Ovis aries: one gene and its partner. The protein of the gene in region 1 interacts with the protein of each later gene in a biochemical or structural test. Links are inferred from orthologs where the notes say so. Each region holds a gene or a part of one and is shown in the gene's direction. Other genes may lie near its edges.

Region 1 (3,742 bases):
TCTTATTCTGGCCATTTAAGCTCCCACTTGTAAATTGTTTCTCCCACGTTGAGGTTAAAACTATGCCACTGAGAGGTGGACCTGGACACTTCTTCCAGTTCTTCCCTGCTGCCACAGCTAAAGCTGTGGGGGTGCTGTCTCAGTTACTGAAGTCCTCCAGTTGAGCCGACCAGCAGGATGAGAGCATTTCAAGCCCAGACAGCGTGTGAGCGCAGTTTATAGCTCAAGGTATCTGGGCCATTTCCTTTTTTCTTTTCAATGAGTGTGATGTTCTCTAAACACGGCGGAGGGGCGGGGCTCTCGGTGACAGCCAAGGGTGCCCCCCACCCACCCACGGTCGGTCGACACGGACAGTCCTGTCTTTGGTTACGAGCTCTGCAAGCCCAGTCCCCATCGCACCAGATTCCCGCTCCTGCACGCCCCCACTTCCCGCCCTGACAGCGCCGCTGTAGCTGAGCTCCTGCTCAGCGGTCCCGCCGCGGAGACGAGGTCCCCTCGCGCCTTGCCCTCGGCAGGAAACCGCCCGAGTGAGGCTCCCCCGGCCCGTGCGCCCGACTCGAGGTGCGTCCCCAGCGCCGCCTGGCCCCGCGCCCTCGGCTCTCGGTCCGCAGCCCACTACCCCACCCCGCGCACCCGGCTCCCTGCCCAGAGCCCCCAGACCAGCCCCGCGCGCCCAGCTGGGAGCCGGCGCCCCGCCAGCCCGGGTTCCGACCCGGCCCCGCGCCCCGCGCTCTGCGTCCGCAGCCCCTAGCCCAGCTCCGGCCCCGCGCCCCCGGCCCTCCGTCCGCAGACCCCGCCGCACCCCGCGCGCCCGGCCCCCTGCCCGGAACCCCCGGGCCAGCCCCGCGCGCCCGGCCCGCGCCCGCGGCCCCCGCCCCGCCGGGAGGCGCCCCGGTCGGCCCCGCCCCGCGTAGGCCCCGCCCCGAGCGCGGCTTTCAAGCTTTATAAAGTTCCTCTTTCCTACCTCCGAGGTTAGTTTCGCTGCTTGGACTTGGGACTCACCGCTGCCCTCAGCTCAAGCCGGGGCGAGGTAAGACTGGGGTCGGGAAGGACGCGGGCTGCCAGCCCGCTACCGCAGGAGCCCGGCGCGAGGCCAGCCGGGTGGGGGCCGCCTCGGGGCAGCGCGGGCCGCCGCGGCGTCGGCGCCAGGCGAGAGCACGCCCCTCGAGGGACCCCGACGCCCACCCCGTCTGCCCTTGGCCGGGGAGTCCCGCGGCCCCGGCGTCCGCGGGTCGGCCGAGCCCGGGCCCCGGAGGCCACGCGCGGGGCCGGCTGTGGTAACGAGGTCGCTGGGCCATCAGCGCCCGAGGGGGTCGTCGAAGGGACCCACCCCGGGCGGCAGCCCTGACCGCGGGGACGGCCCCTTCCTCCCGAGGCTGCTTCTCTTGCTCCTCGCTCTTGAGGGGCTCACAGCCCCCTCGGCCCCGAGCCCGCGTCTTCCCGACCGGTGGTGGAAGAGGAGGCGCTCCAAGTTCAGGCCACGAGGGGCCCCGCGCTCCGCGACCCCCGCCTTCCCGGCACCTTCCCGCCCCCGCGCTCCCCGCGGGCCTCCCCGCCCGGCTGATGCTCGGCGCGCGGGGATCCCCCACGACGAGGCTGCGCTCGCCGCCTGAGGCCGGGTCCCTCTGCCGCGTGTGGCTCCCGGGCCACCTGGTCGTCGCTACCTGTCTGGGGCTCCGGGGCATTCTTGGGGCAAAGAGTGCGGGTTTCAGAGAGAGCCGCGGGGGAGCTGCCGCCGCCGCGCACCTGGAAGGCCAGGCCACGGGGGAGCCCGCGTGCGGAACACGCGGGGCCACCGGGGCGCGGGGGCGCGGGCGGGGGCGCGGGCGGAAACTGGCCGTGGCACGGGGGATGGACTGTCCACGGCTTGGGCCTGGGCAGGGGAGCGGGAGTACGAGAGCAAACGGAGGCCCACGCGTGGGGGCGGCTGGATTTCGGGGGTGCGCGAAGATCAGAGCCCTGAGTCTGGGCGGCGTGCGGGCCGCGGGGGGAAACGCGAGTGGAGCGTCCAGAAGGTGAGGTCGCGCACGAGCTCAGGGAGGCGGGAGGGCGGCGCGCCAGGGGCACGCACGAGCCGGGGCGGCTGAGAAGGGCCTTCTCTCGCGGCTCGGGCGTCACAGACTCGGCGGCGCGCGCCTCGCCGCCTCCGAGGCTCTGCGGCCTCGTGGTCATTGCCGAGGGCCGCCTCCTCTCCCCGCAGCGCGGAGCGAGTGCCGGAGCGAAGCCTGGGTTGCGAAGGGACAGCGTCGGCGCGCGGGGCATGAACCTGGAGGGCGGCAGCCGAGGCGGCGAGTTCGGCATGAGCTCCGTGAGCTGCGGCAACGGGAAGCTCCGCCAGTGGCTCATCGACCAGATCGACAGCGGCAAGTACCCGGGGCTGGTGTGGGAGAACGAGGAGAAGAGCATCTTCCGCATCCCCTGGAAGCACGCGGGCAAGCAGGACTACAACCGCGAGGAGGACGCCGCGCTCTTCAAGGTGCCCGGGCGGGGCTGGGAGGGGCCAGGGCCCGCGCGCCGACCCGCCCCGGGCTCCGGGGGCCGGTCCGCGCCGCGCGCACCGGGCCTGGTGCGGGAGCGCGGGGGTCCCGCGGCTGCTCTGGTAACTTCGCAGAGGGCGGAGCCGGTGCCACGCCTGAGGGGCGCACGGTCCCCCGGAGTCAGATGCCCGTCCGCGCTCCCGCCGGGTAGAGGGGTGGGCCAAGGCTGCGCCTCTCTCTCCCTGGGGCCCTCTTTCTGGAACTTTGGGTACCTCCTCGCCTCCACGTACCGACTGTGTCTCCTCCTTGCGCGCGGGCAGCTGTGTGCGCCGCGCCGCTCGGGGCTGGTCCCTGCGCCCTCTCCACGCTGTCCCGCCTCACGCCCCCTCTCTGGCCAGCGCTCTCCTTCGGGCTCTCTCTGGTCCTTGGGCGCGTCTCTCCCTCTGTCTCACTGTCTCTGTGTGACTCCCTCTTCCCGAGTCTCTCCCTGGAAAGTTTTCTCCGTCTCTCTCCCTTCCTCTTTCTCCTCTCTCTCCCTCTCAGGGTCTCCTTTGGGCCTCTCTCTGGGGGTTTCTCTTTGCCCCGTGTGTGTGTCCCTGTCCTGACCGTTTTCCCCTTGGGCAGTTTACCCAGTGGCCAGTGCTTTAGGGCCCAGCCCCACCACCTGTGGGCAGAGCGTGGCAGGGGGACTTCCTCAGGAAACTTGCTGGAAGAGTAAGGCTTGCCTCAGGCTCCCTAACGTCCAGAGGTGCCCTGCGGTGGCCCCTCAGCCCTCAGCTCTGTCTTTGCTTCCAGCCTAACTGCTTCCTGAGGGGTGGGCTTTGTGGGGTCCTCAATCTCACCCGTCTTTCATAAACACCCTCTGTCCCACCTTCCTGTGGACCTGAAGCCCCTGCCGCCATTCTTTGCTTTAGAGATACAATTTCCAGATTCTTTTTTGAAAGACCTGCATTTTAACTTTTCCCCACTTTTTCTCACCAGGCTTGGGCACTGTTTAAAGGGAAGTTTCGAGAAGGCATCGACAAGCCAGACCCTCCCACCTGGAAGACACGCCTGCGGTGTGCTCTGAACAAGAGCAACGACTTCGAGGAGCTGGTGGAGCGGAGCCAGCTGGACATCTCGGACCCCTACAAAGTGTACCGGATCGTCCCCGAGGGAGCCAAGAAAGGTGGGGCTTGCCGGGCTGGGGCCACCTGCGCTCGCGCCTCAAGACGGCTCCCTGTCAGGGTCCTGTTTTCCCTTTGCTGCTTTGTAGCCGGCTCGCC
Region 2 (3,742 bases), on another chromosome or scaffold:
AGTTCTTAACTCCTACCCTCTGCCTAGCTGGGGACTCTGACCTGCACATACTTGCCCTTCCACGTGGATGGGAGGGGGAGGAGCCAGGTTCTGGGAATCAGATGGGACACCAGGGGGCAGCATAAGCCTGGCTTTGGCCCCTGAGCCCAGCCCTGTTTGGGGAGAAAGGAGGGGAGTAGAAACTGCCTCCCACCTTCCACTGCTCCTCAGAGACCACCCTTTTCCCATACACATCTCTCAGGTTTGGGGGCTTGAAGGTCCCTTGGCCTCCTCCAGCTCTTCCTTCAGCCAAAGCTTCAAAAACCATCCAGTAGTGACAATGATGACTCAGAAGCTGAGCAAGCCTTGTGCGTGTGAGTGTGTGTCCTCGTGACTGCATGTGGCTCTGAGTGCTGACATGTCTGTGAGCCTGCCTGCACGTGTGTGTAAGCATGTGTGTATGTGGGAGGGAGTGTCCTTCTGGCTGGGGAAGTTGTCTACATGCACGTTTATTTCTGGGTGTGTCTCAGTGTTTACCCCAGAAACAGATAGGAACTTTGCCAAGGTTGCACAGCAGACTCATATTCAAACTTGTCCCTTGGGAATCTACGGGCAGCAACTCCAGCTTGCCGCTGGCTCCTACCTGGGTCTCCGGAGTAGTACCCCATGAGGAGGTGGCGGAAAGGATTTTCAGTTCCAGGCATCCCTGGAGGCCTACAGGATTGTGAGCTTCACAGCCCCCTCCCCCACTCCCTCCCATCAGCGGGTCACGAGACCTCTAGGGCGTTCCCCACCCAGCAGGGAGGGGAACCGAGGAGTCCCAGCTCCCCGGCCGCTTTCAGGGTCTTCCACTGGAGGGAGTGCAGGGCCAGAGGGATTTCTTTTTCCAGAGCCCCCCGCCGGCCCCCCACCCCGGGGGGGTGGGGAGCCCAGTCCTTCTTGAGCCCAAACCTCCGGCCCTTGCAAGAGTTTGAGTATGGGAGCTGTAGTTTGGGGTGGCTTGTCTCTACTTGATATTAGGTGACTTTCTGGAGGAAAGTTGATTGTTTTTGATGGGGGACAGAGTAAGCGGGGATCAGCCTTTCCTCCAGCCTGGCGCCAGGGGCCCCCAAGCCCCAGTCCTGGCTCCCCCTCCCAGCCCATGCTCCCCTACTCCATACCAGAGGCACACATGCTCACCCCACTTTCTTCCTCTTCCTCCTCCAGCCCACTTTCTCTTCTCTGTGTCGTCAGAGCTCCAGGGAGGGACCTGGGTAGTCGGAGAAGCCGGAAACAGCGGGCTGGGGCAGCCACTGCTTACACTGAAGAGGGAGGACGGGAGAGGATTGTGTGTGTGTGTGTGTGTGTGTGTGTTTTCTTTTTGGTGGTGGTGGAGGAGGAGGGGTGCTAGCAGGGCCAGTCCTGAACCCGCTGGACAGAGCTACAGACCCATGGGGCCTGGCAGAGCCCGCTGAGAGAGGGAGACGACAACAGAGGGGTTGCCAAGGTGAGGGGATGCCTCCAAGGAGGGAGGGTGGGGGGCCTCTGACTACCAATGTGGGGGGAGGATGGGAGTGCTTTTCAGGATCCTGCCTGGGCAGAATGGATGGTCCCCAAGAAATTGTTTCAGCTGGGGCTGGTGGCTGGTGTTACTGAGTTTTGGCAGTTTCGAAATATCAGAGGAATCTGGAGTGGGTGCAGGCCCAGCACTTGCCCTGCTCCTCCCCAGCATGGGTCACTTTTTCCACACACCCCATCCCCCGCAATCCAGGGACGTGTTAAGGCAGGGGAAGGAGGGCAAGGAGGTGCCCCTCTGCCCTCTGGGTTTGGGGGAAGTGGCAGCCCCTCCCTATAGAAAACTGATGGCAGGGGGCAGTGGGTCCTCCACAGACCCCTATCCGGGCCCCCCACAAAGGTTCCTCTTCAAGGGTGTGGCCAGGGGGTGAGCGTGTCCCAGAAGTAGAACCTCATGGTGCCCCAGAGGAGGGGGAATTTCCCCCTCAAAACTGCTCCACGCTGGGCCCGGCGGCGTCACGGAGTTAACCCTCCCGGTGCCTAACTGGCTCCGCCTCCCCGCGCCCCTCCCCGCCCCCACCACAGCACACACACACTAGGCAACTCAGAGAAGCTCTTTTGACTTCTGATCCTGTGGTCCCACGGTCAGAGGGCTCAGGAATGTCGGGGGTTGAGGTGAAGTTTCGGCCACGAAGCGGGGCTGATGAAGATCCTGGACTTCCCTTCCCCATGGGGAAGGGAACGCGGGCCCCGCCCCCCCAGGCCGTGGCTCCTCCCTCCCTGTCGGTATTCAGTGGGGTTTACAGCAGAAGATGCCCCTGGCCTGGCTGGCCGATTGAGCCAGCCTGGTTATTGGGTGGGAGTAGGGGAAAGTCTGGCCCCTCGTTGTCTGACGATGGAGTAGGGGAGATTTGAAGGCAGGGCCATGCCAGGAAGCTGGTCACTCTTCCTAATCTAGGGGATATGGAGGAAAGGGGAGCTGCCTCTGACTTAGGGATCACCTCGGTCCCCCAGTAGGGTAGAGATAGAGGTCAACGGTCTGAGCACCCTGAGAAACAGGAGCGAAAGAGGGAAGAGAGGAATGGAGTCCTCCCTTAAGTTTGAAACACAAACCAAAAGGTGCCCCACCCCAAGGTGGGTGTAGAGAAAGGTCTATGAAAGGACCCTGAGCAGGAGGGGGAGGATTCTGCCTTTGGGAGAAAAGAGGTCAGGGGGATATAGGAACTGTTCTCTGTTCCTTTGGGAGTCCTGGGAGAGGGGAGAAGCTAACGTGCTGCAGCAGAACTTGGGGCTAAGTGGGTTGAGGGAGACCTAGGGAGTTTCCACCCCCATCCTTTCTGTCATCTCTGGGAAGAGAAACATGAACTGAGAGACCCCTGGGGAACCACTGGTTTACCCACTCTGCCCTGCAGTCCACCTAGGATGGGGAGGCAACTACCTCCTACCTTCTCCCATCTCCTTGCCTCTTGCCCCCTTTCCTTCTCTTCCTTGTAGTCCTCTAGCCTCTCCGCCTCTCTTCCAGGCTTTTTGCTGCAGGCTAATTAACCTCACTTTTTCTCCTTCCTGAGTTCTCTCTACTTTTCCTCTTGCTCTATCTCCTCTTCTTCAGTTCTCCTTCCATGTCCCCCTCCTCTTGGGATTATGAGATCTGGATCCAGAAGGGATCCTAAGGGCACAGAGTGGTGGTTTATCCCCACTTGGGTTTGGATCGCTTGCAGAGTGGCCTTGGCAAGTTGGAGAACCTCCTTGAGCTCAGTTTCTCTACCTGTGACGGAATAATTTTATATTTTAAAAATTGTTGCAAGATTTTAGTGAGGTAAAGCACTCAGTGTAATGCCTCGTACATAGTAAGTGCTTAATGAATGATAGCTATTGTTACTTTACCATCTTCTTCTTCATCTAGCCAGGCAGTTTTCAGATTGTTTCATGGAACCCTAGAATTTTGAGGGATTTCTCCAGGGACACCTTTGGGGTCCAGAGGTGGAGAGAGGGAAGCAAGAAGTTGTAGATTTCCAGGTCTACCACACTTGATTTCAACAGAGAAATTCAAATTTTACAGAACTGGCTAAAATGGTCTACTTCTTTAAAAAGTTTGGAAAGTTCATACCTTACCCAAGCCTCATATTTTGTAGATGAGAAGATTGAGGTCCACGGAGGGGAGGTTTCTTTTTGTTTGTTTGTCTTTAAAATCTTGTGAGCATGCCACAGGTCATGTGGGATCTTAGTTCCCCGATCAGGGATTTGCTCCCTTCATTGGCAGCATGGAGTC

What was found.
Region 2: the proteins of IRF4 (region 1) and STAT6 form a complex in vitro, tested with the Homo sapiens proteins (2 studies listed by BioGRID). The link is inferred for Ovis aries from reciprocal best matches to the Homo sapiens genes IRF4 and STAT6.

What each region holds. Positions count from the first base shown.
Region 1 is NC_056073.1:51,018,477-51,022,218, forward strand, and holds the start of IRF4 (interferon regulatory factor 4), read left to right. Parts: upstream 1-970; 5' UTR 971-1,030; intron 1,031-2,200; 5' UTR 2,201-2,260; coding exon 2,261-2,476; intron 2,477-3,458; coding exon 3,459-3,645; intron 3,646-3,742. UniProt on the Homo sapiens protein: Transcriptional activator. Binds to the interferon-stimulated response element (ISRE) of the MHC class I promoter. Binds the immunoglobulin lambda light chain enhancer, together with PU.1.
Region 2 is NC_056056.1:162,503,711-162,507,452, forward strand, and holds the start of STAT6 (signal transducer and activator of transcription 6), read left to right. Parts: upstream 1-1,266; 5' UTR 1,267-1,465; intron 1,466-3,742. UniProt on the Homo sapiens protein: Carries out a dual function: signal transduction and activation of transcription. Involved in IL4/interleukin-4- and IL3/interleukin-3-mediated signaling.